Linked DNA regions of Solanum lycopersicum. The protein of the gene in region 1 binds, or shares a complex with, the protein of each later gene. Links are inferred from orthologs where the notes say so. Each region holds a gene or a part of one and is shown in the gene's direction. Other genes may lie near its edges.

Region 1 (7,503 bases):
AGGTAAGATCATATTATTACTTCAGCCCTTAGCTTCGTCTTTGTTTCACTTACCCTTAAAGGTATTATTTCTTTATTGAGAATATACAGAATTCTTTTTAGGATCTCAAGAGAAGAATAGTCGGTCGTGCTCTACATAGTTTTATCTATCGTGTTACGAGAAATTTCCTAATAAAATAATCGTGTTCATGGTTTCTAATGGCATGTTTCTACATGAATTATTTTCGGTTGTTGTTAATCTATGTTCCCTTATGATGCTGATAACCTATTTCATATGGCTAGATATTGCTGGTTATATAGGTGTCTGCATGTATGTGTTTAATAGTGTCCTTTGATAAAGAAATGTGTATTATAGTGTTATGTCGTATTTCTATTTTCTTTATGATTTTGGACTTCTAATTGCATACAGGAATTATTTCTGGACAAGGTTGCTGCTGCTGGAGATGCTAATGGGAGGTTGACCTCATATTACTCACTGTCTCTTACAATATTCCCCTATTCCACGAGAATGTTACCATTCATAAGTTCTTATGAGATTCATCTTATTTAAAATATTGTTGTGGTCTACTTTTTTTCCAGTTTTGTGGTTAAAGCTTTGTATTTTTGGTTGGTTGGTTGGGGGCTTTTTAATGCAAAAAGCTATATGGATCTAGCTATACAAAACTAAAATTTATATATACATATTCATTTAAGTGATGGCTTTTTTAATTTCTGACTTTTCCGTTAATGTTATGCACCTTATGCTTTGTATGGGTGGGTTACTGAGTTATGTTGGAGATCTAATGCTAAATAGGCTAGTGAATGGCAGTACTAATAAGTCAGGTTGGATTCATGGTGTGAAATGAGTCAAACAATTGCACCTTGATATTCGTTTTCTTTGAGTCTCTTGATCTTGGGATTGTGTTGGGGCAGGTCAAATATCTATAATAGGTGTTTTGATTGTCAATCCATCAGACTGAAATTCTATACTACTGCATAGTTTAATGATATGAATATCTGACACCTTTGCTGATTCCAGTGCGGATCCTCAAGCATCTGTTGAACCAATGACACCAATCAAACAAGAAGAACACCATGAAGAGATGGTTGCAAATTCCGAGAGCATGGTAACTAGTCGATCTGTCCTTTATTCCTTACAAAGTAGCTGTTTATTGACTATTTATTGTTGTGTGCCAGACAACTTGTTTTATATACCTTAAACATTCTTATGCTAGAATGATTCAAGGTCTTTTCTTTCATGCAGTTGGATGGAGTTGATGGAGATGCTGATTTCATGGATCATGCTCCATGTACTCCTGGGTTAGTGGAAGAACCAAATTTGTCTAACATTCAGGAAATATCAGCATGTGAGGACCATCTAGGTCTGGAAGATCGTCATTTGACGGAATATGCCGTAAAAGCAAATTCAGTGAATCTCTCTTGTGAAAATAACGTGAAAAACGGAAGTGTGCTTCTAGAAAATCAGGCATTAACTGATGTCTCGAATGCTGATACTGTTCACTCTGGGGCTGCTGAGGAGAATGGTTACCATTTAGGTAACAAGTGTGACAAACAACTCTTGCCAGATGGTCAGCTGCCTCCAAGTGGAGTTGCAGTGGATCTTGTGTCACTTGGTGATCCCACTGTAGCATCTGGACCATCCTCTGCTGCTGTTCATCAGGCTAATGCAAAATCATCTGTACTAGAATGTGCGGATGAGATTGTTGCTGCATCTGATGGTCAAACAAACGAGAGGAGCTTCCAGTGTATGCTTTCTGACATGGACAAGGTTGACGTATCTACCCCTGGTGACTTCCCCGACAAGCCTCCACTTCCAAATGGAATTAGTTCCACAAAAGTTAACTATGATGTTTCTGCTTTAAGTAGCATCTGCCAGCCAGTTCGTGAAGATATTTCACCGAGTAATCCGAGATCACCTAAGGCAGTCTCAAATAACATTGCAATTCCAGAAAACATGGATGCTGGTGAATCCCAAGATATAACTTGCTTTGAAACGCCAAAGACTGCTGATTGTCTGGAACAAAGTATTTTTGATGAAGACACTGGTGCCCAGGTTCATATTCTGAGTCGATGTAATGCTTCTGCTCAACTTGATGCATCGAAGTCTAGTTGTGAGCATGCTGTTAATAACGAGCTACCATCTAATTTTTCTGGTTTCCACCAGCCAGAAACTTCTAAGGAGGGCGCATTACATGCTTCAGGTATTTGTGCTAGAGTTTTAGGTTTGTTGGGATAAATCTGTGTGCTATGTTGTAATATTGTTGTGAATGTACTCTTAACACTTCAAGTTGAAACATGCCAGCAGGTTATTCAGAACAAATCTCAAAAGAAAGTCTCGTCAAAGAACCTGTTCCACTTGAAGACATTCGGAAAGATACTGACAAATCAACTGATCGAGCAGATAATGTTGTTCCAGAAGATCACCACATGGAATTTATGAGCAGTTCAGCTGCCTCTGCCTTGCCAGCTCCTGAAAAAATTCTATCAATGTCAAGAGGGCTTGTTGATTTACCTCGGAGTATTTTCCCAGAGGCTACGCCGGATTACTTGGCAGGGTTCAATGAGGTGGAGGCTGGTGACAAATTCATTTCAGGAAAGAAGCGCAGTTACACTGAGAGCACACTAACTGAGCAGAGTCTCAACTCAGCTGAATCTTCAAGGATGGTCCGTTCCAAAAAGTCTGGAGGATTTATTCCCGATGATGATGATTTGCTCTCTTCTATACTTGGTACTTTTTGAGTTCTCCTTTTGCACTTCATAGAAGGGAAGGGTGACCCTTTTTACCTTGATGAAAAATTCTTTCTTCTTTATTATATGACATATATCCTCTTTTCTGACTAACGTGAGACATTTCCACTTTCCTAATTATTCGCCACAATTCTGCCTAGTATAATGTGATAATATATGTCTGTAAAAGTAACCTTGTAAACCTTTGAACTCAGTTAAGTATTACATAACAGGGGTGAGGGGAAATTAACATTTTTCTTGAGTTTAGACCTTATATATGTAACATCTTCATTCTTATTTCAGTTGGAAGAAGATCTTCAGCGCTGAAGCTTAAGGCTACTCCTCGACCTTCTGAGATTACATCTAGCAAGCGTGCCCGATCTGCTGTTCGGATGAGTGCCAGTAAAAGAAAGGTTCTTATGGATGATATCATGGTCTTGCACGGAGAGTATGTTCTGTCGTAATTTTTTCTTTCTGTTCATGTAAATGCGTCTTTTTACTAGTTTAGATCACCAAGCCGGATGATTTATATTTCATTTCTTGTTGTCAAAATATAGCAGATTAAACCACATGAAAGGCATAAAAAATGTATCTTGGGCTTTAACAATCTATTGCAGAGTATAAAATCATAAATGCATCCATATCAGCAGTCTGACTGAGAATTGAGACTAGCATTTTCTTGGCACTGTGTCTTTTGTCTATTTTAAATACAATGTGCACTATATTCTTGAATTAGCTGCTTTTGCTCTACTGAATTACTTATTGTGTGCCAGAGTTTAGGTGCTGGTCTTACTCTGATCCAATAGTCAAAGCCTGTCTCTTTATAGGCTTTGTTTTGATGTTGCAAATTTTTGCTGGTTGCCTTGTCTTGTTGCTTTTTCTTTTTTCCAGTCAAATTTGAACACAACCCTTGTTATTTTGGATACTTTATTCCTTAATGCTTCAGCATTCTGACTACTGTTATCATGATTATTAGTCTGGCCACTCTGGTTCTCACTTATACTTGATCAAAGGTGTTGGAAAATATGATATTGTTGACTGATAAACAACCTTTAGACTTCGTAATGAACGTGAACAGATCCTCTAAAAAATAAGTTGGTTCTTGGATGGATCACAGATACCTCTCAACTCATTTTTCTATCATTTCTGTTTGTGCAACCAAAGTGGTGGTTTAGCCGTCGATGAAACTGGGAAAAAGACCATGGGATACCAGGTTTCGAATTCCAGCAGAGGCCAAAAGCTAATTGATCTCTTCCCATCTATGCCTATGTATTGGTGGGCAGAGTTATCCTGTGCCTGTAATACAGGGGGGATGTAGGTGCACTGAGGAATAGTTCGAAATAAAAGAGAGAAAGAGAGAGAACTGACTGTATTTTGTTTGTTTCCGCTTCTTGTTGACATGCAATAGTGAACTGATGCGGGTCTGAATTATTGCCGATTCAGCTAGGTTCCCTTTCCCAAATAGTTAGTTTTTGTCTTGTCATTCTGCCTTATTTCCCAGTGAACTGTTTTTTCCTGATAATCTGAAAAATCGTTTTATGTGTTTAAATAGCTTTCTCAACTCATTCTTTGAATAACTGACAAAACATATTTGAATTTGTGATAGTATGATAAGACAACAGTTGATACATGCTGAGGACATACGTCGCGTAAGGAAGAAAGCTCCTTGCACACATGCTGAAATCTCAGCAATCCAGAAACAGTTGTTGGAAGATGAAATTTTCAGAGCAGCAGTATTAACTGGTGGGTTCAGGATGCAAGTCTACATTTTTGCTATTTGATTGTCTTCTTCTTGTTGAATCATGCAATTGTTTTTGTTGTGGATATTATAAAAGGTGATCACATTTTTGTCTATGTTTAATCCATAATAAGTGCTAATATGAGCTAGCTACACTTCAAGTGTATTGGATATTTGTTTTATTGATTAGCTTAATGTCTCTCTACTTGAATGTATGCCTTGGAATTACTAAGCTGATGTGTTTGGGAAATATATTTACTCAGACTCTATGCCAAGTACTGTCATATAGTTTGTTCTGATGACACCCTAAGAATACAAGCACATGCTTTTAAGTTTTTAAAAATTCTTTTGCTAATTGTTTCATGACAGGAGAAGGCACATTTACTGCCTGCCTCTTAACTTTGTTCTTAGTGCTGCATAGCACCAATGACCTTTGCTATCTTCTCATATTGACTCAATTTGATACTGATTCAGGTTTGTCGGTGGAATTGGCTTCTTTACATAAGCAAACATTTGACTTGAGTACAGTCAAAGTCTCTTCTTCTAGTGATGTTAGCTGTTCTCATGCTGAGAAGGCGGTCGAACCCCAGATAACTGCTGAGTATGCTGAAAATTCCATCTCAAATTTGGAGGAACAACGTCAACAGCCAAGTGTTGAGTGTGCTGAAAAACCCATCTCGAATTTGGAGGAACAACGTCAACAGCTAACTGCTGAGTATGCTGAAAACCCCATCACAAATTTGGAGGAACAACAAGCGATGGTGTGCAATGAATCACATGTTGAAAGAGAAAGTGGAAAGGAAGGAAGCGATGAACGGTTTGTAGCTAGAGATGATAGCATGTTAGGAGCTGTTGAGGCTACTATTCCAACTGAGAACAAGGAAGTTGGTGAGCATGACCAATGTTTAAATAGTGACGCCTCTCAATTGCGGCCAGATACTGTCACTGATGTATCAGCGGCCAATGGTTTTCATCTTGAACCTTCAGATAATACAGCAGAAATAGGATCTCAGGTAACTTACCTTTCAGGTGCTGATGCAGCAGATACTGCCACTGCCGCCAAAGAATCATTGGCGTGTCCTAAAAGTGGTGGATTAGGTGGCGATGGTGATATCGCGGCAGGTCTACCTCTGACAGATCCATTTAATGAGTCTGGAAGGGAAGCTGATTTTATTTTACCAGAAGTATCATATGGATCTCCCAATCGTGCACCGGCTGCTCAAGCTGATAAGTCTCTGGAAAATTTGAATGATGAAAACCTTGTAGTTAGTAGTGACTGGCCAGAAAGCAACTACTTTATTTCTGAAGCTGAAACTGAAACTGAGAATATGGTAGAAGATGCAGTTCTATTGGAGGCTGCCCAAGACAGTGCTACAGTTGAAATTGCAACTAATGTAGAAGATATAGTGGCAGATGATGTCAACCAGAGCTTTGCTGATAACATTATGGGCACTGAACAACCCAAAACAGATGCTTCATATGATGAAACGAATATGCATTTGCTGGATGATCCCATAGGAGCCGGAGACTATCCCTGTAAACAAGAAAATTTCTCTTACAATATGATGGGCACAGATCTTACGAATGGCAATCTGGGTGACCTAAATGTAAGTGTGCTAGCTTAGTTTCGAGTGCTAGTCTTCTGGAGTTTCAGTACTCTCTCTCTCTCTCTCTCTTTCATGTATTATACATGACAATCTTATTTTTCTTTTTGTGACACGTTGGATAGAAATTGCAGACAATCAATAATTATGTACCTCTCTTTTATCAAAGTTGGAAGTACCTATATCTTCTCCTGGTCTTGACTAGGTTGCTTCCTTGTTGCTTCTTGACCTGTTGCTCTTTGTTCAGTATGTGTGGTTCTTTGGAACTCAGCGGAAGGGGAAGAAAGAAAAGAAAAAGATTACCTCTATATTGTTACCAATAGTGTCAGGTCTCAACGTAGTAAGACCTGATTGAATAATCTAAAAATCTAAAAAAATCTAGCAAGCAGCAATATGTACGAGCACAAATCTTGACTTGATGTAGATGAACATGTATACTGGAGGTTACCTTCTGTCTTGCACTGTTCTTCCCCCCAAACTACTAGATTCTTTATCAGTTGATTGCTTTTGTTAAAATGGGCTTGAAATAACGGTCCTTTGCTTTGATAAGAGATTTACTTTGTTATGTGCTCTGCTGATATGAGCTTTCCTCATTTTTTTTTGGCAGGATCTACATTATTCAGCCGCTGGAAATGATACAGGTTTATTTTCCCTCATCTGCAACCAAAACTTGAAAACTTTATTGCCTTAAAAGAAAGAAAAAACAAATAATTTCAAAGTCGAATTGGACGAGAATATTTTCAAATTTGCTGTAACATTAGGCATGTTTGATTAAGATGGATTGTCTGTCCTTGCTTGTTTCAGAACCTTGCATCTGGATTTTTCTTTGTTAATTAAATTTGATAATGGGTTGAAAAATCTGCATTCAGTTTGATGTTATAGTTTGAAAATTGGTTTCACAAGGTTTCTTAGTCATGGACAAATGCTGTAAATTATGACCTTTCTCCTTGTACCTGTCTGATTTGATGTGTGAAGAAATCAGACACACAAGTAGAAGAGTTTGAGGAAATGTGTGAAGAGTAGTGTCTTGGCCCGGAATGCTTTTATAAGAGCAATTTACAGTGTATTGTATTTGTGGGATATGAGAGATTTAACTCCATATTTCGAGACATATTTCATCTAAGATTACTATTACCTCTATTACAGAATGGTCAAACCATTTCAGCGTGGCAACATTGGTACTGTAGTTTCTTTGGAAGTTTTTGTAAAATTTCTCCTAGTCTTGTAGCTTTGGTGTAACATTATTTTTGGTATCTAGGGTTTCTGAACTTCGATGACGATGATGATGAAGAAGCTGAAGCAGCTGATGATTATGTTCCAGCTGCTGATGTTACCCGTATCACTGAGAACATTGGATGGTCCTCTCGTACAAGGTGTGCTGCTTGTCCTTCATTTCCTATTATTCTACTGTTATAAGTCTAGGCTTGCGTAAGCT
Region 2 (8,165 bases), on another chromosome or scaffold:
TGTAAAATCTACTAAAAATTTTATTGTAATATCTTATTGATTTGAATTAATCTCATGACGAGTACTTTGCAAAATTAGAGCGTTAAAATAAAAAAGTTTGAGAAAAATAAGAAAAAAAAATTATATAGGAATTTTGTTTAAAAATTTTGATTTAGTCGACGGAGGCATTTTTTGGAATTAGATATTTAATTAAGGATGAAATCTGATTTGATTAGTAACTGTTAATGGAAGGCCATATGCTAAGGTGGAGAAAATTAATTTGGTTTTAAACGTTTAAATTAGTCATTCTATTAGTGATGAATTCTTATTTGGTTCTAACTAATTCTCCTTATTTAACTATAACAATTATTTATTATTTAAAAAGACGAGAGATAGACGAAGAAGAGAATTATAAAAATATTTATCCGGCCTTTTTCTTCGATAAATATTTGAAATTATTTTTTAACTTTGAATTTGAAATTGACTATATAAACAATGAAAAGAGTTAATTTACATGTGTTTATTATTTGTAGTATTTTATTTTTGGGGATTCAATATTAGCTAGTACTTTTTCCTCTCTATTTAGTTGTCAAAATTTAACACACCTATTAAAAAATAAATAATTGACCGTTATTAATTAATAGAGTCTATTCCAATACCTTAAAGTGTTATTGAAATTTGAAGGTGCATTTATTGTCTTAATTATATACCAATTACCGAAGTTATGATTTTTAATTTGCAAGTTAGACTCAAACTTTTTAAACGGTAATTATCCTTGTGTGTTTTTGAAAAAAAAAAATTCATTTGCAGAACATAATTTAATTCAAAATTAACTAGCTTAAATAAATCACATTTTAAGCTATTATGTTAAAAATATAATTTTGAATGTGACTTATTTATTTCAAATAAATTGTTTTTTCTAATTAATAACACAACAAACTTAACTTCAATCTTAAAAAAAGTCAAATAAATTTGTTGACAATCTTAAAATTCTTTGAATTTTCCATTAATCTAATTGAAGGTTTTCGATGAGGTGATCAATAAGATTAAATGCACCATTTCGACATAAACTTGAAGCCATAAATTTATTTATTTATTTATTTGCATTCTAACCTCATTACATTACACGCTGATAAGAAGATATTAATTTAAACATGGCTTTAAATATCAATAAGATGCTATGATCATAGTAAAAATAATAATGCTAATAGATACAAAATAAATTGATATTAATATAGGATTAATTATTTATATACATACATTTATTTTTCATAGTTTTCATTATTTTCTATCATTTTAAAATATTTTCAAAATTACTTATTTACAGTTTTTATTTCAATTTGAATTTCAAAAAAAATCTCTCTCTAGTCAATCAAAATTAAACCACTGAATTAGATAACTTTTATATTTTTCGTTGTCAATTGTTTTTTGTTTTTTACCCTTTTTTCTTGATACATATGATTCTCCATTGTAATTGATTCTACGGTCATCCTTGTTTTATGCAACGGATCATATTCATATTTAAGGTGTCGATATATAATACTAATGTTGAATCTTCAATTAGTTTTATCATGTTCAATATAAATATACTTGTAAATATATCATTTGATAAATGTACCATCAATCATATTCAAATTTACAAGGTTATATAGACAAAAACAAATAAGTTGTGTGTTATGTATCTGCACTCTTTGATATTTGCTAAGTAGGCATTTGGCCATGTGATACCATATTACGATATGATATCGTGAGATGAAATCAGCGTTCGGACATGCGATTTTACGCTGATTTCATCTCATGATTCCATATCATGAGATGTGATACTATATTCTCCAAAAATCGTGATATCAAATCATATGAGAATTCCATATCATGATTTGAGTTGTTTTAATATAAAAATTGATTCACAAGTTTATATTTTGTTAAAACAACCCCACATTTATATCTATTAACCATCTGTTTCATATGTAAAAAAAAAAAATTATAATCACATCATTACTTTTAAAAATTTATTATTCTCACTAACATATAGTCATTTTTTAACTCACATTTCACGATTGTTGAGCAATAAAATTTTGAAGAGCCCGTGAAAGGTGTTTCATTTTTACTCAAATATATTGATGAAATAATTACTTAAGTGGAGAACAAATAACTTTGTAATAATTTATTATACGATTTTATGATTTTTGTTTATTTGATAATATTGAATAAACAATTGAGGCTATTTTAATAGTTTTAAAACTTATAAGATTTTTATGTTTGTGAGAAAATATACAACACTGAAATCCAATATCGCATATCCAAATAAAACTTCAATTTCATCTCATGATTCCATGTCTTGATACCATGTCGCATGGTCAAATGGACCTCAGTGTTATCCAACTAAAATACAATGTATATGTACATATTACATATAACAATCTTGATATATAAACTCATATGACATGGAACAATCTGCAAACATTTAAAATAATTTAATGATACACGTATGAAATACAATTTTTTTATTTTCAAAGCCAGCACTTATCTAACAACAAACTAACACATATCGGCACAATTTCATAATTATCTTGCAGTAACATTTACTAGGTATATTCAAATTATCAAAGATACAACCATCCACAAAAATCTAATATATATATATATATATATATATATAAATTTAATATATATATATATACATATATGTATATGTCTGTATGTATGTATGTATATATGTATGGTCTATATTTATATATACAATATTCACAATAATGACCTGATTTGATACACTATACAAATCTGTGATACATACACCCGACATTCAAAACGTATGTGATTCGTCTCAATTATTAATTCATTTATTACATGTATCATATATAATATATCATGATGATATATTTTTACTCAAATCATATCCGAATACAAAGTAATGATCACATCATAATAACAGATACAAAATTATGATACATGCAGGTCATTTACCACTAATACATCAACAAATACGTAAATCATATATGACATCTTACAAATCACATTGATTATATCTCATATAAATTGTTACATAGATGATAGAACACACAATTATGTATTATAACTTTAATATTCCCACGTTCCTTTTTTTTCCTTCGTAGGAAGTAAAAAAATCCACTAATATTCACCTTTATTTGGGGAACTTTCGCAAAAAACTACTATAATAAACTTAATTATGTTGTCTGGTTTGCAGTCTATTACACAATGAGGGTTTACATAGTGCGCACAAAGTGCTCACACGAAGGCTAGAGCCTATGACAAAGGTTGCAACAATTGCGGGTTATCTTGGGGTTAAAAAAAAATAATTATGCTTCATAGCTATAATTTACATATTTACGAGTTGTAGCTATAAGATTGTATAATTTGGAGGTATGTTTTTTAAATCGAGCTATTTTTGTATAAATTCAAAATAACAAATTTATACAAATACAAACATTTGAACTTTAAACAAATATACAAATTATATTATATAAAAGTTATAAAAAAATTGATTTCATACAAACTCGAAACCCCACCCCATGTAACTATTACTGAATATTGGACACAAGTGATAATTAACTAGAACTAAAGTCATAATAACTAATTAACCAATATATATTTGTTTGATCACACAATTCTTTCTAATCTAAACAGTGTCATTTAATTAAGAGAAAATACATAAATTTACCCTCACATTTATATATTTTACTACCAAATTTATATATTTTATGGTGGCAACAATAGTGATTTCATGGTGGTGTTCATCAAAGAAGAAACAATTGTTATATGGAGGATTTTAGTTAAATTTTGCCATGACATTTGATATGGCAGCGATATAACACTGATGTGATCCAAGTGTGATACATTTTTGAGAGTAGTACTATACGTCTCATAGATAAAAAAGTTCATTATTTAGTAGCAGAGGTATATAATAATTTAAAAGTGTAACTTACTTTTCGAAACAAATTCAAATGTGAATTTATATCATTTTACCCTTTTAATTAACGCGATTAAACAGAAGTGGCATCTGCGTAAATAACCAAAACCAGTCGGCCCTTTTAAGGAAACACAAAGCGTCAAGTTATTTTATTGCCGCATTGGCGCCACTTTCTCCCGCGGTTTCTGTCTCAGAACCTCAAAAATTTCGAACATAAAACCCCAATTAACTATACACACAGAACTGAGGAGCCGAAGAGAATTAGGTCATTGGAGAATCCTCTGAACTGAAAAGGGTCGCCGCCGTTCGCCGCCAATCACCATTAATCGCCGCCAATCGCCATCAATCGCCGTTCTTGGTTGTTAATTTGTTGACGGAGAAATGTTTTATTCGCACACATTCTTGGCTCGGAAGGGTCCATTAGGGACTGTATGGTGCGCTGCACACTTGCAACACAAGTTGAAGAAGCCTCATTATACTTCTACTAACATTCCATCTACTGTTGGTAGGTTTTCTAATGTCTTTTTTTTTTCTTGAAAAAAAGGGTCCCTTTTTATTTGCCCCATTGCCAAGATTTATATTTTATTTCAATGGATTGCTTTTTTTTTTGTTTTGTTTCTTTCTTGGGATTTGAAAAAAGAAAAAAAATGATTTTGCTAATTTCGCTTGGTTGACATACGATTCTTGTTTTGCTGTTAGTTGGGGGTTTCGTGAGATAAAGATTTGCTCTTGTGAATCTTTTTAATTCAGCTTGGAAGTTTTTATATAAGTATTTGTACTTCAAGATTTTCTCTCTGTTATAGTAATGCTAGTTAAAGGGTTAGATTGAAATGTTTTTTTTTTTAATTCGAGTCATTGTTGCTGAGTGTTGATTGAATGTAATTTTATGTATCTAATGTTATTTTTGTTGCTTGATAATTAGTTTATTATTCAGTTCTTGTTTTGCTGATATCAATTAGGATCTTTCTGTGAGATGAAGATTTATTTTTTTACATTAAAGATTGCATTTTTGATTGAAGTATTGAAATTTGGTTTGATACGGAGGTTTTTATCATTTGCAAAGATGAATTGATTTCTAATTTAGTGGAGACATTTTCTTCTGTTCTAATCATGATAGTTGAACTCTTGGACTAGTCTGTGCTTATGTACAATGTATTGTCACCTGTGTTAGTTATTCATTGATCATTTTAAGGAGGTCAAAAAATGAGGAACTTTCATTCTTGAAATTTAAGCGGTAAAATTGTCTGAAGATATGCATGTCCCATACATATGATAATGATTGAATAGGGGGAAGGAGGACATGATGGGCTGTTTTTTAGCTGTGAAAAAAATTAATATATTGAAGGAGACTGGACTACTTTAACTCTAAGCATAAAAAATTGGAACTTGAACTTAGACACTACATCAACTCTTAAGTTCTTAGGTAAGAAGGAGAGAACAAATTTGTTCATCACACAAATAAAATAAGGTCCATTGGAATCTTTTGTATGATAAAAGTGAACTCTGAATCTTTCTCTTGAAAGAGATTAAAGATTTGAAGTTTAGATGATTCTACCCATGACTTTATTTGGGGAAAGGATCCAATTTGCTTCTAAATTATTTGAAATGTAACTGTGTTCTTTGTTTCGTGTTGGGCACAAAAATGCCTTTATCAATAACCGAATAGCTCAAAAATTGGCCCGTTTCCATTTCTCGATAAGTGATAGAATATAATAAAGATAAGATGGCATTTATAGGGAAGCTTTCAGGGTGTAACGGGAAGGGGTTGGACAAGTCAAGTACATAAGTATGTTCTTAGAATTTGAACATAATGCAAATAACAATACCAATCATTAAAACAATTTTTTGCTTGATATTGACTGAGCTATAGAGAAAGAAAGACGTAATTGTCCCATTTCATATAGTTTAGGGCTCAATTAGCCCTTTTTCCATTTGAGCTAAAGCAATAGTTAGTGGGAGGTTATTTTTGAGCTACTTGGCTAACTATGAGGACATTTTTTAGCTACTTGATTGACGATAAGGGTATTTTTGTGCCAAAACTAACGGAGGGCAAAGAGGATCCCCTTTTGAATCATTTAGGGGCAAGATGGGATTTTTCTTTACCTTTTTATTATGTCATATTATTTAGGAATGTTGCAGATTTATCTTATGCTGGACACTAAATCTTGAACATATTTAACCTTAAACTTTCAGTGGTACAAATGATGTGTTTTTTCTGGTATATGCCAAATGTACTTTGTTTTAATTAGTTAGTCTTTGATGCTTTCTTGGGTACTCCGTGGAACAATCAAGGTGCGTATAAGCCAGAAAGGATGTATAAGTTGCTCTACACAAGTACATAGCAGTAGCTTTGATATGCATATGATGTTTTTTTTTTTGCTGATGATACTGTTCCTTTTTTTTTTTTTTGAAATCTATTTGTAGAGCGCATCATGACTCCTGAAGTACCTATTGCACTGCGAACATCTGGCCATCTTCTACTTGGAGTTGTTCGGATATACTCGAAGCAGGTTGAATACTTTTCCGAGGACTGCAAAACACTACTAATGGGAGTTATAAAGGCCTTCTCGTCTACAAATGTCAATCTCCCAGAAGATGCCACTCATGCACCATACAGCTCCATCACTTTACCAGAAACATTTGAACTTGATGCCGTCGTTTTTGATGAAGATCTTGACCTGAATAGGTAAGTATCTGTAGTACTTTTTTAGTTGTCATCTTGAATCTGTAGTTAGTTATACGTGCATTTGGAATTCCAGGATTAAGGATACTCATGTTAAAAGTTACGAAGAGATAACTTTGGAAGGTATGTATCATGTTTACTTTAACTCTTCTTTTTTGTATCTTTTTCTGTTTCATTTTCAATTGAACTTTCATTTCTGAAATTTTCCATGTATAGATCAAGTTGTATCGCATGAAGATCAGTATGTTGCTATTTTCATTGATGAGGTGGGTAAATCTTTTGCTTCATAATTAGCAGCGAAGTTTCGATTTATTCACTTAAGTTGCAACACTAGTTTGACAAAGAGTTTGTTTTTACAGGACATAGTGAAGAGTTTGTCAAAATCAGGTGAAGTTTCTGGATTAGGTTCCATGCCTATGGAGATAGAGTATGCATCTTATTGACTATAGATGTGGATTGTTTCTGTTTATTGCCATGTTTGTAATAGACATTTCTTTGATGATGCAGTTCTGATCCTTCAAATTTAGATGAAACTGCTGCTCAACCCCAACATTCTTCCCCTAAGAATCAGGAAGGACTAAACAAAAGAACTGTTGGTGATGACATCCCTCAAGATTTTCCAGATATTGAACTCATGCGTGACGCTGTCCATGATCACAGTTTTGAGAATGTTCCCTTGTGGTCTGACCGAGGGAATGATGTGATGGAACCAGATAGAGTTCTGGAGGAACAGATCATGAGAGACAAGGAAACTGCAAGTCCAGTTGTGAAAGAGATATTGGCCCCCGGAGGACATTCAATCCCATCTCAACAACGACAAGAACCACCATCAACTACTTCAGCGGATGCTCATGAATTTGCTGATCCACAGATATCATTTGGTGGGTGCTTGCATGCAGGTTCTTATTATTAAACTGAAATTACATATTTGCCATGTTAATATTCTAACATGAAACTTCTTCTTTTCTTGGATATTCAGGGCATCAGTCACCTGATTTAGCACTTCTTTCAACACCTCCTCTCGAGGTGCCAAAAATAAGAAGAAAGCGAAAGCTACTCATCTATGATAAGGACATAGTATTGCCAAATAAGTATGTTAATATTTTATCATCATTAACTATATATTTTCTTCAACCATTGGTATTTTGACAATGTATCATGTTCAACTCTACAGTGAGATGAAAAGGAGACTAAAGGGCATCGGTATAAAATCACGCGAAAAGAAGAAGGTTCCTTGTTTTTCTTTGGACATCTGGAAACAAAACCAGAGACTAAGAAAAGATGGAATTTTCTTTGAGCCTTTAATTACTGGTGGGTGTCTCACAGCCATTATCTAATGAGTCTAATGTTCTTCACCTAAAAATTCAACTTCTGTTAATCTGTAGGATTATGCGATGATCTTTGCAATATCTACAAAAAAGACTTCATTTCCGCAAAAGTCCAGATGGCTTCCCCACAGGAAGCCCCTCCATCTGGGAATGATCTTCCGGTGGAAATTGAAAGATTACGTGATAACCAAGACCTTGCAAGCACTAGTTTGCTGTCTGAGATTTTGCCTTCACCAAATAGGCCTAT
Region 3 (8,093 bases), on another chromosome or scaffold:
TAATTTTAGTTAGTTTTACGTATGGTCATTCAACTTTTAGTTTATTATATGGACAGGGAATTCAAGATGGGTGCATGCAATGAAATGGTCAGGGCAAAATGCCTTTGGAAAAGCCCCATTAGTTTCATTTACAGTAGATGGTGTAGAGAAAGGAGTTGAAAAGAACCACGGGCCTTTAACTTTCCTCAAGGTCCATGATGCAGGCCATATGGTACCAATGGATCAGCCCAACGCAGCACTAGAAATGCTCCAGAGGTGGATGCAGAATAAATTGACTAAAGAAGATCATCTTGCTCCTATATGAAACAAGTTATAAATAGATTGATTACAAAAAATAAAATAAAAATACTAATGTAGTTTCATGTCTCAAGAAAATTAATTATAGTAATCATGTAAATTCACAGTTTCATGTTACTTTACAAATCTATCAATGAAATGATTTTTCTTCGAGGGAAATAACGTTCTGCAAAACCTACTTCCAACATGTTTTTTTTTTCCTGTATCAGCAAATTGAGGGTATATGATTCACAATTTAGAAACATGATTGAAAAAGATTGATTCAAAAAGAGATAAGCTTTACATATTTATTTGCATACTAGTTTCTGAGAACTATGTAATTTTTTTTAGATATGTTATAGTGACTAAAATTTCATGAAAATATATATGTAAATTGTAAATAAATAATAAAATGTAACAATTACAAAATATGAATAAAGACTTACGGCAATAAAATATTCATAGAAAACTAAATAACAAGTCTAATAGAGAAGGAAAAAAAGACAAAAGAAACAGATATAAGAAAAAATTCATTATAGACATTATTCTTATAAGACCGATTTACATATAGATGAAAAAACAAGTACAAAATTAATACATAACTCTCTGAGATCTTATTGACCCCTTTCATATCCTATCAAAATTCAAAAGTTTTCTTCATCTAGTTTAGCTATTAAATAAAAATAATAGCCTAATAATCTTGGTAGGGAGTTCATGAGATAAAGAAGTTGATTTTAGATACATAGAATAGAAGAATATCAAAAGAAAACTTAAAGTTTTAGTTTAAATATTTGAAGGTTCTGAATATGAAAAGATGAGAGTTATGGATTTAAGAGCATAAAAGAAAATCATAATAAATAAATGAAGAATGTGAAAAAGGAAATTATAAGTTAGCAAACCATGGAGAAAGAACAACCAAAGTTCTTATCATGTAATTAAGCATCAATGAATTTAAATTTGTGAAGCTAGAATCATTCATTAATGATAATCAAAAGGACAATATCAATATGTGTCTCCATTTTATATATTTGTACCCTTTAAATTATTAAATTTCGTTATTTATCATAAATGATAATACTTTATCCATATAAATTATATTATTTATGAGAAGAGTTAAGGAAAAAACTATGAGAAAAGGAAAAATATAGCAATTTCAGTAGAGACTATTTATTTAAAAAATAATTATAATTATTATATACATATAGATTATAGATGATAAATATTAATAAATTATATTTAATTAGGAATTAATCTTAAAAAGTTTAAAAGTTATTAATATTTTAATTAAGCTTATACAATCAAATATTTAAATATTTTATAACAATTTAATTTATAAAAAGAATTATACTGAAAATAATATAATAATATAATAAATAAATAATAATAATAATATTATTATTTTCCTTTATTTTTATGAAGGATGGCTTTTTCGTGCTTTAGACTTTACTAACATTTTCATAGTCATGTTTAATGGGTTCTTTTCTGGTTCAGTGTAATCACTTCTAACTTTTTATTTGTAACAATTAAATTAGGCCTAAGTCATCTGCAGCCCCTTAAAGTTGTCCACATAATTCACTTAGACACCTGAACTAGGACTTATACCTATTGAACACCTAAATTATCAAGAAATGTGCCTATTAAACACAAAACGCTGATGTGACAAAATAAGTGTATTTCACTGCTGCTGAGCGCGTGAATACTTTTTTTTAATTTTTTTTAAAAATATTAATACCTACTTTGTTGACGCTTGGCATGCATTGACTAAATATATATAAAAAAATAATTTAATTAAACATAAATCTTTTAAATCATTAAAAAAAAAAAACCCCACACTCATCTTCCTTCAACCCACCATTTAAACTACCATCCATTCAATTCCCCCAAAATCCCTTATTTTTCCATCCAAAAACAACATGAAAAAATCACTTCTCTTAGCAGCCTCTGTTTCTGCTGCCCACCGCCACCGTCACTTCTGTATCCGAAGTTCGAAGTTCGAATTTCTCTTCACAAGGACGATAATTTGAAGAAAAATGAAGATTGTTCAAAATCGGTGAAAGCATCAACCCACCATTTTAAAAACTTCAAATTTCTCTGTCTTTTGTTATGATTCATTTTTTTTTTCATTTTATGTAAATAAAGTACCTGTTGAATTTTCAAGAAGAAGAAAAAATGGACCATTTGAGAAATAGCATATAACGAAGAAAATGAAAGAGGACAACATTTGGTGGATGAATTCGGAATGAGATGGGGTTAGGCATTTTTTTTTGTTATGAAAAGAAATGGTGATTGTGGAACAACAGAGAAGAAGAAGAGAAGAAGATGAAGAAAAAAGGGTAGTAAGTTAGATGGGGTGGGGGTTAGGGTGGGGAGAAAGATTTTTTTTTTTATCAATTTAATTTTTTATATATTATTAAAGGAAGGAAAATATTCTTTATCTTTTAAAATTAAAATTATGGGCCCATATGCCACGTGTCGTAGTTCTATTCGTAATTTTTGTCAAAATAAGGAGTGTGCATTACACGCACAATATTTGTAAAGATAATTATTATTTTATGTTTGATAGGTAAATATTTATTAATATTAAAATGTCTAATTGATAAGAGTCTCAGTTGAGGTGTCTAAATGAATTATGCGGACAACTTTAAGGGCTATCGATGATTGGGCCATTAAATTAAGCCTCTTGAACAAGAATAGTAGGGGACACGTGGAAGCCATTCAGGAACGATAGCACAAAAATTCCATTCACTTGAGCTGTGACTTGAGTTCATCAAACATTCATTCTGCAATAGGGTGCGGTCCCCACAATATACTCTGCAAAATGCAATCGCAATCGCTTCTGTTATGGCGGGTATACTCTACAGTATATACAGACGCACAGGCACAAAACACACACACTTTCACCTTTCTCACTTTGCATATGATCTCCCTCTCTCTCTCCAACTATATATACAAAACCTTCTAGCTTCAAGTACTCTGCAAAATCAGTGCTGAAATTTCCTTCTTCACGACGGCAATATGTTCTACTCTCATCAGCTTCTTGCTCGCAAAGCTCCGCTCGGCCAAATATGGTGAAAATTGTCGATTACTACTTGTCATTTCAATTTTTTCCTTTCGAAATTCGTTATGTTCATATGCATACGCTACATTTTTGGAGTTTCTGATTTTTTACTTGCATATGTTGTATATCCTGAGCTAGATTGTCGTTCTTCTTTGGTCGCTGGTTAATGATATTCAGTAGCTTCTTCAACCTATTTCTCGTAATCTGAAGTTATGAGTTATATGTTAAGTTGTCACTGTTAAAATTGGATCTGTTTCTGTTCAGAAAATGCTTGAATTCAAAATTGTTTTATGAAGGTATTGATCCAGTTTACTACGGCTTTTGTTTTGATTTTCTATTCTAAATTTGTTTAATACATATAGATAAGTTGCATGTTTTGTGTTTCTGCGTTTTTTAACTTTCATATATCGCAATCCCTGTAGTGGATCCTCTTTTCGTCATTTGCTTTCTGTGTCTAATGTTCTGTATTCGTTGAAGTTACTTCATAGGATTTTGTGTATATGTTAAGTTCTCATATTTCAATTTGGCTACGAAGAATGCTTAAATTGAAATTGTTTATGATCTTTCTCTTTGCTGTGAAGGATGGCGGCCACTCTGCACTCAAAACTCAATAGGAAAAAGCTTAGTAAACTCAATATTATTAACATCTGGTGAGGCGTTTTCTTCTACTACTACGTTGAAATGCCTTAATTCCTTGTTGATTTTGAGTATTCGTCTTCTGCAATTTCTTTTGTCAAGTGAACAAATCTTAAATCCATCAGTCCCGATGGCTCTGAGGCTTTCTGGAATTCTCATGGGTATGCTTCGAAAACCACTGACTGTCCGCAATTGCTGCTTTTGATTTAGATATCTAATCGACAGTTCTGTTTCAGGTGGAGTAGTCATTGTTTACGAACACAAAGTGAAACTCCTATACGGTATGAATTGCCATGATGACTTCATCATTTCAATTTGAATTTCACGTTAATTCTTTGAATTCTACTCCTACTTTACCCTTCCTTATTTCTTCATTTTTTTTTCTTTATGTTTTCTTTAATGCAGAGGATGTGACTCGTCTCATGGTAGTAACATTTGTCTTCGATCCTAATCAAATTAATCTCTTTCTTTGCTCTGTTTTCATTAAATTCCGCATTTATGATTGGGTACTTTCAGGTGCAAATCAATGAAGCTTGGAAAGTCAAAGCAGCTACCGATCCTACGTTACTTCCCAAGGGTAAATCGCAAGCCAAGTGAGTAACTCATCTCCAATTCGACGTCACAGTATTTTGCCGAGAAGCAGAGATTGTAAGGCCGACTTTTAACAACTTCTAATACTTTCAGTTACCTCAATAGTGCTTCAGTAAATTAACAACTAAAGTATGACTGCCACCAATTAGTTGAAATGATTAACTCAATTTATTATGATTTCTTTCACTCAATGTTTGGGTCAGTTTCATCAATGAGTTATTTAAGGCCTGCTTATGCTGTGAGTCCTTTATACCTAAGGTCTTTGTACTTAAAAATACCTAGTTTAGCGATGAATTGGTTGTAAACATTAAATTCTGATTCCTGTGATTGTTTTTCCTAATGTTGATGAATTTTCATTCCTCATTTCAATTCCTGTAGGTATGCAGCTATTACTCTGCCAGAGAATCGGGAGGAAGAACTCCCAGAGATTGAACAGACATTACGGAATCCAGACACAGTCACAATGATGGATTTCGAACAAACCTCCTATTTCACGATGGTACATTATGGAAAGCTCTGTCACCTCCTCAATCCACGAAATAACTTCAAAAGCAGAAACAAAAATTGTTAGGAAAATTAGGAATTTGTTCGAACTGATCTAATTAAAACTATTGAGCTTGCTTTAGATTGTTAAATAAGTCATATTTCATTATTCAGCAAGTCTGCAAGCTCAACAATAGAAAGTTAACAATGATAAAGTTGTTTGATTTCCCTTCGCCTTTTGGTTACTCTATATGTTTTGTAGCTTGTTCTATGTTATTTCCACTCTTGGGTTTTCTCAGTGTTCATGACCTTGTTGAGTAGGCAATCTTATCTGATACCACTTGGATAAGAGCAGGAAATCTTAGTGAAAATCAGATCACTACATGAGAGTGCAGCTAAACTTGCGGATGTTCAATGTGCAGAGACTAGATAATGCTGATCTCTATGATAAACCCAATGCACAGGAGGAACCTGCTAAGGACTTGCATCAAGGTACACCTAGATCCCACAATCAGCATAGATTATGCTACTTTCACCATCACAATAGAATATATAACTATATCCTAGTCAATGCTACTTTGTTTTCCAGTTTTGTCTTGTTGTGCCCATCTCTAAAACAATCCTGAAACCCTTGTTGCAGTTGATCCAGATAATATCACCCTCGCTGAACGCTTTGAATCCCATCATACAGATATGTTCAATCATTTTGAGAGGTATCACGATGAACAGTTTGTAGGCTCTGTATTTCTAAGTTTGTACGATCAGTTCGCATAAAAACTTCACGTGAACCAAACTATCCACCATTAAATCACAGGAGGCTAATTAGCCCCATTTTTAATTAACTGCAAAGCTTTCCTTCTATTATCCCCCTATTAATTTTTAAGCATGAATTGTTCTGCAGGTTTGATATTGAAGGGGATGAAGAAACACAAATGAATTATACCCAGCCAGAGGATGCTCAAATCCCAAGTACTCCTGTGCAATCTCCACCTCGAGAACAAGCCCATCAACGTAAGAACGTGTTACTATCTTCTACTTTAGATAAATGAAGTTTTTTGAGATGTAAATAGTAGATGGAGTTACGATATTTCATTATTTCACTTGGTTTTCTGATAGAGACATAATGGCAATAAACCCTTCCTCTCAAATAGGAACATGAATGCAAGTCGTACTTACCTACTATGAGATCAGTTAAAATACTTTGTAGCTACCTGGCTGCTTACCATTAAACTTCCGGTTTACATATGAAGTTCCTTCAAGCACAGAACTCTTTTGGATTGAGTTGAGCTTGTAAAAGTCTTTAGATTTCCTTAGGTAATTAATTATTTCTGAAAATTGGTTGAATGGAGCGAAACATTATTGCAGCTGATGAGATCCCTGACAGACATCCAGAGGACCAAGTGAAGCAACAATCTGATGAAGTTAAAGAAGCTTTTGAGGTAGAAACTCCACAAGCAACCAAGCTAGAAAATAATGTAAAGAAAAACTGTCAGCACTAATGTTACGTCTTGACATGATATTGTAGCAGCGGCAGGATCAACAAAGGCCAAAGCCAGCTCGACGAAGAACAAGAAAGGCCACAAGTCTTGCAATTGATCATGAGCAAACTATTATTTCTGGTGACATATATCAATCCTGGCTTCAGAGTTCTTCAGATATTGCATCAAGAAAAAGGAAAAAGAGAAAGGTACTTCCATACCTCCCAATCTAGATCTTCCCCATTTCAATTTTTCCATTGTGTGCACCGTATAACCTTTGATATCAATGGCTAGTCTTTGTGTATCCCAAGAATAGCATGTGCATCTCTCTCTGGAAGGTAACCTTAACTAAACTAACATGCAGCATCATTTATTAGTAACCTTAAGTTTCTATTCTGTGCAGACTTTGAGTGTCTTACCTTCTATGAAGATAGCCAGAATGATGGAAATGCCTCCTATTGCACTACTAGAAGGATTGTTCACAAATGGAAATAAGGAAGTTCACTATCCAGCACCACTCCTAAAATTATGGATGAGGAATACCCAACCTCCGCATGATTCACCTTCCGGTCTGGTTTTTCATCCATGATATTAGACTCTTAGTTGCCAAAACTATAAACAGGTGGTAATTACATTTGACTTGCAGGAAAAACCTCTCCACCCTTTCCTCCTGAACCATCCTATACATCTCCAGGTGAAAGGATGGGTAATTTGGAACCGCCTTTCGAATATTTCCAAGGCGGTGTAGGCTCCCCAGCAGTAGGAATCTCTATAGAAAAACAAAGGGCAAATCTCAACAATAACAAGATTCCACCTGAAATTCTCATGGAGGACCTCAGAACCAATCTTACAAATATGGGACTGCATCCAACAGAGACTAATGGAGTGAAAGAGACTGATCACATGGCCACACCTGGCTCTGGTATATCGATTTTTTTATGAATTTCCCAATCTCCATGATTTGTTCGGCAATCTGATATGGTGGTATAACTAACATTTTTGTGAATCTATAGGTGATGAGCCTAGATCCATTCCAAGCTCAGGATCTGGTCATGGTTTACTATCACAGAATTCTGTAACCGATTCAAGTCGGTTAGTACTACTAGTAGATATATGTTGAGGGATTTGTCTAAAGATGAACCACTTGAATCATACAGACAATGACAGAAGGAAATAATGAATATCATGGATTTCAGCACCATAGGGAACTTTAAAACTTTGCTTCTTTTTAAAATTATGAAGGTCTCACCATATAGCAGCATCTGGTTACATTGATCAAAATTGTTAACTCTTCAGGTCCAACAAGAAAAGACCCCATTCTTCATTGAAGCACAGTGGCAATGGTCTTCAACCAGTAGCAGAAGAGAACCCATGGCACGACCCCACTCTAAATTTCAAGTTGACTAGATTATCTGAACTATCTGAAAATGGTTTTACACAAGACAACGGTTCGTGAATAGTCAGTAACCTTCCCATTTTAGTTCTGGTCATTTTCTTTAATGTGGTTTAGTTTGTTATGAACCTCCCTTCACTATTTTGGCAGAGATATTGATGGAAACCGGACCAACACA
Region 4 (7,807 bases), on another chromosome or scaffold:
TTGGAATTTAGTGTTCTGTTGACTTACTAGTAAAAAGAGACGTGCTGCTGACATGAGTTTGGCGGATTTCTTTACATAGCTCTCGCATGCACAGTTCATATAGTTTATTTTTGTCCCAAATTGCAGCTACTAGTTACCTTTTGTCTCCATTGTGTTAGATGTCATCCCTACATCAACTATAGCCTTCTATTTTTCACATATAGTTGGATGGCTGAACAGTTGTGCTCAAATTGAGTGCTAAAACCATACATTTTTAAACTAGATTTTTCGTAAACCACTGCTTGTCAATCACATCGGAAAGTCGTTGGGTCATTAGAGACCTCTCTCGGCAAATAATTTTACCACAATGCCCCAATTAAGTACTACCACTTATAGGAATCTTCTTTCCTAGTAGAATGCCCCCCATGAGAAGAAAGAATATTGTGGTGCTCAGCTTCTCGTTGAACCTCGTGGGTAAACTAATGAATGGAAGAATGTGATTTGATCACAGAATAGAATCGGGGTTTTGGTCATGAAGGTGAAATAGGTTCATGTGTGACTGACATTTTTTTTTTTTTGGAAATTTCACTTAGTTTGCAACTTCTAGTGTTAGCTGTAACAAATGCTATAGTTGTAACATGGAATTCACAAGACTCAGTGTAAAATATTAATTACTTGGAAATTAGCATGTCTTCCGAGCCACGGAAAATGGTTTCTGGCTTTATGTTGGATTGTGAACCTTTGCTGCAAACTTGGGTGATTATAGGTGGTGTTAAATGCTGTCTCTGTGAATTCCCTGGATGATCTAGGTAACTGTTTTTGGCGGGGTTATCGGAAACCTCTCTGCCTCCGTAAGGTAGGGGTAAGGATGCATATGCACCATCCTTTGCAGACGCCACTTGTGGAATTACATCGGGCATGTTGTTGTTGTTTGCAATCTTGATTACGTTCACATGTTTATGAATTGCTGTGTATATACGTAATGAATGTGATTATTGTCTTGGGATCTTTTTTATTTCAGATTCTTGACACTGTTTGATTCTGTTTTTTTAATTGCAGCACGATGCACATAAAAGTAGCATTAAGAATTTTAATCATTTCTTGAGTGATTTAGATTTGCTTTACTGGTTTTTCCTTTGCTCAGAGAAAATTCTGCATGATGAAGCTCCTGTGGTCACATACAGAATTTTAGGTCACCTGCTCCTGGGTGTGGTTAGAATATATTCGAAAAAAGTGGAGTATCTTTTCAAAGACTGTAATAATGTTCTTGTTAACCTTGCTGATTTTTCAACTCGCAATAGACCAACTAGTAAACCATCAGTTGTAAGGATCGCGGGTATGCATGCTCCTGTCCACTCTATCACCCGACCAAAGAAATTTGAACTGGATACTTTTGATCTGGAAGTCTTGGAAGATCAAGACGCAAACAGGTAAAATAAATACTTTCCATGAATGACGTGGTTTTCCATGTTAATTTGTATGTTTTCCTTTCTCTTTCTCCTTGTGTTTTTTCTGATTGTCGGTTTGGGGTTTAATTATTTCAATCTTGGTTTGCAACAAACTGTTTTGAAGTAGTCATTTCGCATCCCGTGAAGAAATCACGCTTTCCGGTACAGTACATTTCTGTTGTCTTTTAATTCATGGTTACTTTTTTCGGCTTTATGTCACTTACTTTTTTTAAAAGAGAGTTTCTGCTTTTTGTTTCAGATGCTCAGGAAAATTTAGTTTTTGGCTCATCTTGCAAGGTAGTCATTTTATGAAGTATAATCATTTCTTTGGTTTGTTTTGTTAACAGCATGTCTCGGCCTTTGAAACTTTTCCAACAAAAGAAGGCAGCATAAATCACTTTCTGCTTTGTGTTCACTTAATACCACTATCACTGCTTAGCAAGATATACTACTGTTTTCCCTGAATATCTCATAGTTTATGTTAAACTCTTTGCTATATGTTGTTAGAACCTTAGGATTGGTGTAGCACATCGAATCAGTTGATTGATTTTAAATTATTATCTGCAAAGTGGTTAGTGGAATTTGTACTTGTCAAGATACATCATGGATTCACGAATTCACGTAACTGCTTTTCTTTGAACAAGTACTGGACAGTGTTAGTGGTGCTGTGTTTAATTTGAAGAAGTTATTTGATGGATCAAACTGGTTCAAGTTTCTGATGATACTTGAATAAGAATTAGCTTAGAGCCGTAAGCAGTCACCTTCATTTGTTTTTTTCCTGATGATGGCATGGGTTGGTTGGAATTTCGCATAACTACTACTTTCATTTTGTGTGGGTGTTGGGGTTGGGGTGTTCCCGTCTCTATCTCTCAATCTGGTACTGCTGCATGAAAAACTTCAAGCTTTGTTTTCTGTGGATATTCTTGCATACATGACATATAAGCTGCTTTTTTCAGTATGAGGAAGGTGTCTCTCATTCAGAGTTGAAGTCCACAAATCACACTCCAGTTAGAGAGTATGCACTGATCTCGCACCTCTTTAATTAGATCTAGTGCTAGTGCTAAGAATTTAACATTTCATGTTATAGCATATATTCACCTCACCTGATGGACAAAGATTTGGACTTCAACCCATCAGTTGGGTCAAGCCACGTGGAAGCTATGTGGAACCTTAATGAGACTAGATTCTCCTTGGAAGAGCGCTTTGAACCAATGACCTTTGGGGACATTGAAATTCAGATGATCTTTGATAGGAAAGCTGATCACCAGACTGGTGATGAGCAAATGAAAGAGTCGAGTGCTGGGAACTTAGTAAACGAGGAGCATCTTTATGAAAAGAGGTCATCTTTGGAAAAGCACGCAGAACCGATGATTATCACAGAAGCTACATTGGAAATCAACACCGATCAACAATCTGAGAAAATTCATCAGCATACTCGTGAGCTCTTAAAACACCCTGATGTAGGAGTGAATGTAGATGATGAACAACCAGCAGTCCTTGGTGAATCATCTCTTGTGGAAAACTGTGGTTTTGAGCAAAAGAAAAATGTTGAAGCATCTTCCTCGAGGAAAGGGAAGGATCGGACTAAAGTTGATCGATCAGTGTCCCTCTGTATTGATGTATCCCCAGAGACCAAGATCGCAGGTGATTCCTTTATCTGGTTTACCTTGTTCTTTCACATATCTTTTAGTTGAACAGCTGAATCCGACCGGAAATGGAATAAGCTGCACCTGCCACCCCTCTTTTTCCCCTTCACCTAGAAAAAATAAGGAATATGTGTGCCCCTTCTCACCCTTTTTGCTTGCTTGTTGGACACAATCTAATTTGTCCCTTCAGATGCCCAAGCAAATCATGTTCTAAAATGCTTGTTGTTTTAACCAACATCACTTTCTTCTAATTCAGGATCTACATCACCGGATTTTATATCTATTCGCACCCCAGCTAAGAAGGAGCGTAGGCGGATTTCAAGGAAGCGGAAGTGCATATTTGATGAATCTATTGTGATCCCAAATGAGTACGATCCTTTTCTTTATTCAACCTATTGCACTAAGATATCCGTATGCAGGATCTTCTTGTTGTAACCTTCTTTAGTTAGTGCAGTTAAGTTCATCGCATAGTTAGAAGAGATTGATGTGACACAACCCTAACATGCAGGGTATTCAAGCACTGGATTGGCGATGCAAATGACTTAGTTTGCAAGAGAAGGAAATCCCCTCATTCCAGTTATTTTGCATGGAAAGTACATAAAATTTCCTCACTTCCTCAGAGTTTTGAGGAGCCTCTTATTCCTTGTGAGTAAAGGTTCAAACACTGCCACTGCCATTTCCGTGTTTTAGGTAATTTAACTAACCAACTGTGGCAATGCAGGTAGTCTTTCGATTGATATTGCATCAGCAATTAGCAAAATTAGATCAGCACAGCATGGGCCTGCAGAAACAGTAGAAATTCCTCTGCGTGAGGACATGCCAGACTCTCCTTATAAACTCAGATCTGGGGAACAAATACCTATTGCTTCTGCTACATCTATGCATGAGTATTTACCTGAATCTCCTGGTACCCTCAGATGTGGAGAACAAATACCTGATGCTCCTGCGGCATCTCTGCATGTGGGTGTACCTGAATCTCCTAATACTCTCAGATATGATGGAGAACAAACACCTATTGCTCCTACAACACCTGTCACTGGCTCAAGTTCGCTGAGATTTCATGATACGCAAGGAACTTCTAAATCACACATAGAACCAGCAAGTTCAGCTGAAATCACAGAGAAAGAAGCACTTTCCATGGAGGATGTAGAATTTGAAATGAATTTAATGGACGAGGTATGACACGATTGACTAGTCTGATTGCTTACATAAGTAAAGGAAATTGCTTTCAGCTACTGAAGTGTATTGTGATGATTATTAACTTTTTTTGGAAATAAAAAAGTTCTATTGTCTGTATCTGTTATTGCAATGCTAATAAGTGCTAACTGCAACAAATGCGCTCTTTCCTCAGGAGATCAATTCATTTGAAGGGGATACCTCAGGAAAATGTAAGGAAGTACTGTTTTAGTGGTGCAATATTATTTCAATTGAGTTGCCATTCTCATAAGTTGTTGTCTTGGTTGCAGGCAAATATTCCCTGAGAACAGGGTATGATGAATAAGGGATCTCAGTTTCAATTCTTGCATCCCCTTGTCTGTGGCATCTTTTGGTTATGACTCTCAGAAATTTGTGAAAATTCATTTCTTCTGTTTTTGGCGGTGATCCAATTTTTGGCTTTTTGCATGCAGAAAGGTCGCAAAATTCCTGTTTGAAAACTTCCTTGCTCGGAAGGGGAAGGAGGAGGTAGAAGTTGTCAACTTGTCCTTGCTTATGAAGGGGAAAACAAAGGGAGACAGTGCAAGGGTGTTCTACGAGATACTGGTATTGTTTTTAGGTTCCTTTCATCTTTCTGGTAATTTTAGGTCTGCCAAATTGAACTTGTGGATGAACGGAATTATTTGATACATATTTTGAGTAGCGCTTTCAGCAGGAGTTTTTGTCCCTTGTTTCCCTTCTGTCAAGCATCCAGGATGTGCTCTAGATGGTGGTGCTTAAAAAGGAATTTCTTTGGTTCTATTGTTGTTAAATGCCCCCGTGTTTCTTGGCCTATAAACATTGGTTATAATGGACGGACACATGAATTTATTTTACGCATTTGTCTCTGGTTTTACGTAAATATAATCCAACGTAAGATATATACATTGTGAATTATTTACAATGCTTATTTTCCACGCAGGTTCTGAAATCAGGAGGCTGTATAGATGTGCGGCAGGATGATGCCTACAGTGACATTCTTTTGCAAAAACTCCCAAGACTAAAGCAGACCTTTGAAGCTGAGTCCTGAATCTATATATATATGTTCACAAAGAGAGCTGTGTTGGTAAATAGTAGCCAGAGGAAACAATCACATGACATATATGCTTTTATATATGTTTGGTAGTATATATGAGTGGAAGAGCGCTTTTCTTTGCTAGCTATTGCTCTTCCTCCTTAACATGAAGGCAAGTTAGGTTATTGTTAACTATTATGTCTTCTATCAGGAATTAGTTGAATTTATTGTCAATGTTTTGGTTTATAACTACTACTGGTGCCCAATTTAACCACTTGTGAAAAGCTATTACTCCAATTTTCTTTAACATCAAATACACGAAAAGGCTTTTTATGAGAAAATTGTATACCCAATATATATCTGGAAGTGGTTATAGAAAAATATTGCTCTACAATGTTGTCAATTCATAGGCGTTTTAATCAACAATGAGCAATAATAGTTGTGACTTATGTCGTATAAATATCATGTTACATTTGTATTTGTGAGTTTTAAAAAGCTTTTATCGCGAAAAAAAAAAAAAAAAAAGACATGGTAGGAGTAGGACACAAAGAGGTCTTTCGTGTCTTTAAGTACTCATAGAATAAAAATTAGTTTATGCATAAAAATTTTGATGTATTATTTGATTGTCAAATTCGAAATAATTTATTCCTCCAATTTTATATGTAATGGAAGAAAAAAAATTAAAATAATTTTTAGGTATTTTTAAAATGTTTAATAATTTCTTTTTTAAAAAGAAGTTTTTGTAATCTCTTTATATAAATTTAAATTTAATAAAAATAGATGAAAACCCAATCGCTCTTTATTTTTAATTTATATAAGAGAAATAAAACTGGACATAAAAGAAGTCCCAATTATTTCTTTTTATTTATTACCCAGTCCAGTTGAAGCCTCGTCTCTTAGACGTGAATCTGCTGAAACTCATAAGTGTGTTGATTGGGCGAGAGAGATGAATCTGAACATGAATTCAATGGAATCAGTGGTTGCTCAAATCCAAGGGCTATCGAGCAATTCATCAGACATAACTCAGCTTCACAACTTTCTCAAACAATCGGAAGAGCTACTCCATTCCGACTTCTCTCGCTTGCTTTCTTCTCTCGCTGAACTCGATCCTTCTATTCACTCCCTAGGTTTTCTCTATATTCTGTAAGTTCCTTTTCATCCTCATCTCTTATTCTTATAACCTAAACCTAGGGTTTCTATTCTGAAGATTATTATTTGTTTAAATTAGCCATTGTTAGGTTATATATATAGATATATTGATTAAAACACCCTGGGCTGTGGCTTAGTCATCGTGGGCTATGGACGATGAGGTTTCATGTTAAAATCCCAATGCAGGTGTTTTTTTCCCATCTGCCCTAACTTTGTTGGACACCTGGTATTGGTACGCGTGGAATTAGCTTGGTGGACACCACGGTGATTATGAAAAAAGAAAAGCTAATTGACAAAGAGGATTGTTATGGTCAACACCAATACATGTAGGATTGAGGCATAGTTGATTGATTGATTACATAATCTATAAAAATAATGCAGAATTGAACCATCCACTGAATTAAAGACCAGTATTTGTGTAACAAGTGCGCGTTGTCTTTTGTACTCTGTCTAGTGTGTATTAATCATATAATTGTGTTTGTTAACTAACAGGGAGGCATGCATCTCATTCCCAGTTGCAAAGGAGCATGTTAGTGAACTGCTTGTTTCTGTCGCTAGATTTATCAATTCATGTTCTACAGAGCAAATCCAGTTGGCGCCCAATAAGTGTAATTTTCTCTGGTTTCTGGAATAGCTTTTGTGAATATTCTTGTTTCTGGTCTAACTTATATTGAGGCACGTCTTCAATTTGTGGTTGCAGTCATTTCTGTTTGTAAAAAGTTCAAGGATCATGTTTTCGGACTGGAAACTCCGATTCGTGGTGTGGCTCCAATGCTGACTGCTATTCGTAAACTGCAATCCTCCCCTGAGCAATTAACAACATTGCATGCCGATTTTCTTCTTCTTTGTCTATTAGCAAAGTGCTACAAAACTGGCTTCTCTGTGCTGGAGGATGACATATATGAGATTGATCAGCCACGGGAGTTTTTTCTCTATTGTTACTACGGGTTAGTTGTTTCAGACTTTCTGCTTAGAAGTTATTTCAGTTGTGTTGGTGTCGTTCCCTTGTTCCGTTCCTTGTTTAAATTTCTCTGTGACTTTTAAAAAAAAAAATTGGAATATTTTTTATGGCAATTCATTAAATCATGCTTTCCTATCAGTGTGTTTTCTAATTTTTATAGGAAAGAGGAACTTTACTCGCCTATGAATATTTGTATTTGCTTGTATAGTTATCTGGTGAAAGAATTAATTTTGTTCAAAAACCCATGGTATTGGTATACAATTATCTACGTCTGCCTTTCTTACCTTTGATATTGTTTAGTTCTCCAACCTAAAGACAAAGTTCTTAACAGCAATGTGAATCACAAGTGATGTATCAATTTAGAATGAGATTGAGTAATTCAATATTTTCTTAATTAAAAAAGTCACTGATATAA

Evidence for each region.
Region 2: sister chromatid cohesion 1 protein 4 (region 1) and sister chromatid cohesion 1 protein 3 share a complex: the UniProt entries of both Arabidopsis thaliana proteins name them as parts of the cohesin complex. The link is inferred for Solanum lycopersicum from reciprocal best matches to the Arabidopsis thaliana genes SYN4 and SYN3.
Region 3: sister chromatid cohesion 1 protein 4 (region 1) and sister chromatid cohesion 1 protein 1 share a complex: the UniProt entries of both Arabidopsis thaliana proteins name them as parts of the cohesin complex. The link is inferred for Solanum lycopersicum from reciprocal best matches to the Arabidopsis thaliana genes SYN4 and SYN1.
Region 4: sister chromatid cohesion 1 protein 4 (region 1) and sister chromatid cohesion 1 protein 2 share a complex: the UniProt entries of both Arabidopsis thaliana proteins name them as parts of the cohesin complex. The link is inferred for Solanum lycopersicum from reciprocal best matches to the Arabidopsis thaliana genes SYN4 and SYN2.

What each region holds. Positions count from the first base shown.
Region 1 is NC_090810.1:3,496,600-3,504,102, reverse strand, and holds part of sister chromatid cohesion 1 protein 4, read left to right. Parts: coding exon 1-2; intron 3-408; coding exon 409-455; intron 456-1,017; coding exon 1,018-1,105; intron 1,106-1,242; coding exon 1,243-2,200; intron 2,201-2,301; coding exon 2,302-2,727; intron 2,728-3,029; coding exon 3,030-3,174; intron 3,175-4,332; coding exon 4,333-4,469; intron 4,470-4,938; coding exon 4,939-6,071; intron 6,072-6,675; coding exon 6,676-6,709; intron 6,710-7,326; coding exon 7,327-7,441; intron 7,442-7,503. UniProt on the Arabidopsis thaliana protein: Involved in sister chromatid and centromere cohesion during mitosis.
Region 2 is NC_090800.1:77,427,286-77,435,450, reverse strand, and holds the start of sister chromatid cohesion 1 protein 3, read left to right. Parts: upstream 1-4,061; 5' UTR 4,062-4,288; coding exon 4,289-4,412; intron 4,413-6,331; coding exon 6,332-6,593; intron 6,594-6,666; coding exon 6,667-6,713; intron 6,714-6,806; coding exon 6,807-6,856; intron 6,857-6,949; coding exon 6,950-7,017; intron 7,018-7,097; coding exon 7,098-7,471; intron 7,472-7,569; coding exon 7,570-7,681; intron 7,682-7,764; coding exon 7,765-7,901; intron 7,902-7,975; coding exon 7,976-8,165. UniProt on the Arabidopsis thaliana protein: May be involved in sister chromatid cohesion during mitosis.
Region 3 is NC_090805.1:48,873,873-48,881,965, forward strand, and holds the start of sister chromatid cohesion 1 protein 1, read left to right. Parts: upstream 1-2,859; 5' UTR 2,860-3,291; coding exon 3,292-3,344; intron 3,345-3,915; coding exon 3,916-3,984; intron 3,985-4,072; coding exon 4,073-4,131; intron 4,132-4,206; coding exon 4,207-4,251; intron 4,252-4,375; coding exon 4,376-4,395; intron 4,396-4,486; coding exon 4,487-4,563; intron 4,564-4,939; coding exon 4,940-5,060; intron 5,061-5,466; coding exon 5,467-5,536; intron 5,537-5,684; coding exon 5,685-5,757; intron 5,758-5,945; coding exon 5,946-6,055; intron 6,056-6,409; coding exon 6,410-6,483; intron 6,484-6,569; coding exon 6,570-6,731; intron 6,732-6,925; coding exon 6,926-7,091; intron 7,092-7,168; coding exon 7,169-7,444; intron 7,445-7,535; coding exon 7,536-7,614; intron 7,615-7,818; coding exon 7,819-7,970; exon of another isoform or gene 7,971-7,981; intron 7,982-8,065; coding exon 8,066-8,093. Other genes in the region: serine carboxypeptidase-like, read left to right, coding at 57-304. UniProt on the Arabidopsis thaliana protein: Involved in chromosome condensation, pairing and segregation during meiosis. Responsible for cohesion between replicated sister chromatids.
Region 4 is NC_090801.1:70,964,132-70,971,938, reverse strand, and holds the end of sister chromatid cohesion 1 protein 2, read left to right. Parts: intron 1-232; exon of another isoform or gene 233-517; intron 518-1,123; coding exon 1,124-1,409; intron 1,410-1,551; coding exon 1,552-1,589; intron 1,590-1,686; coding exon 1,687-1,724; intron 1,725-2,383; coding exon 2,384-2,442; intron 2,443-2,514; coding exon 2,515-3,071; intron 3,072-3,329; coding exon 3,330-3,441; intron 3,442-3,581; coding exon 3,582-3,718; intron 3,719-3,794; coding exon 3,795-4,249; intron 4,250-4,424; coding exon 4,425-4,461; intron 4,462-4,539; coding exon 4,540-4,561; exon of another isoform or gene 4,562-4,605; intron 4,606-4,701; coding exon 4,702-4,834; intron 4,835-5,189; coding exon 5,190-5,297; 3' UTR 5,298-5,553; downstream 5,554-7,807. Other genes in the region: CSN3 (COP9 signalosome complex subunit 3), read left to right, coding at 6,229-6,425, 6,924-7,039, 7,132-7,378. UniProt on the Arabidopsis thaliana protein: May be involved in sister chromatid cohesion during mitosis.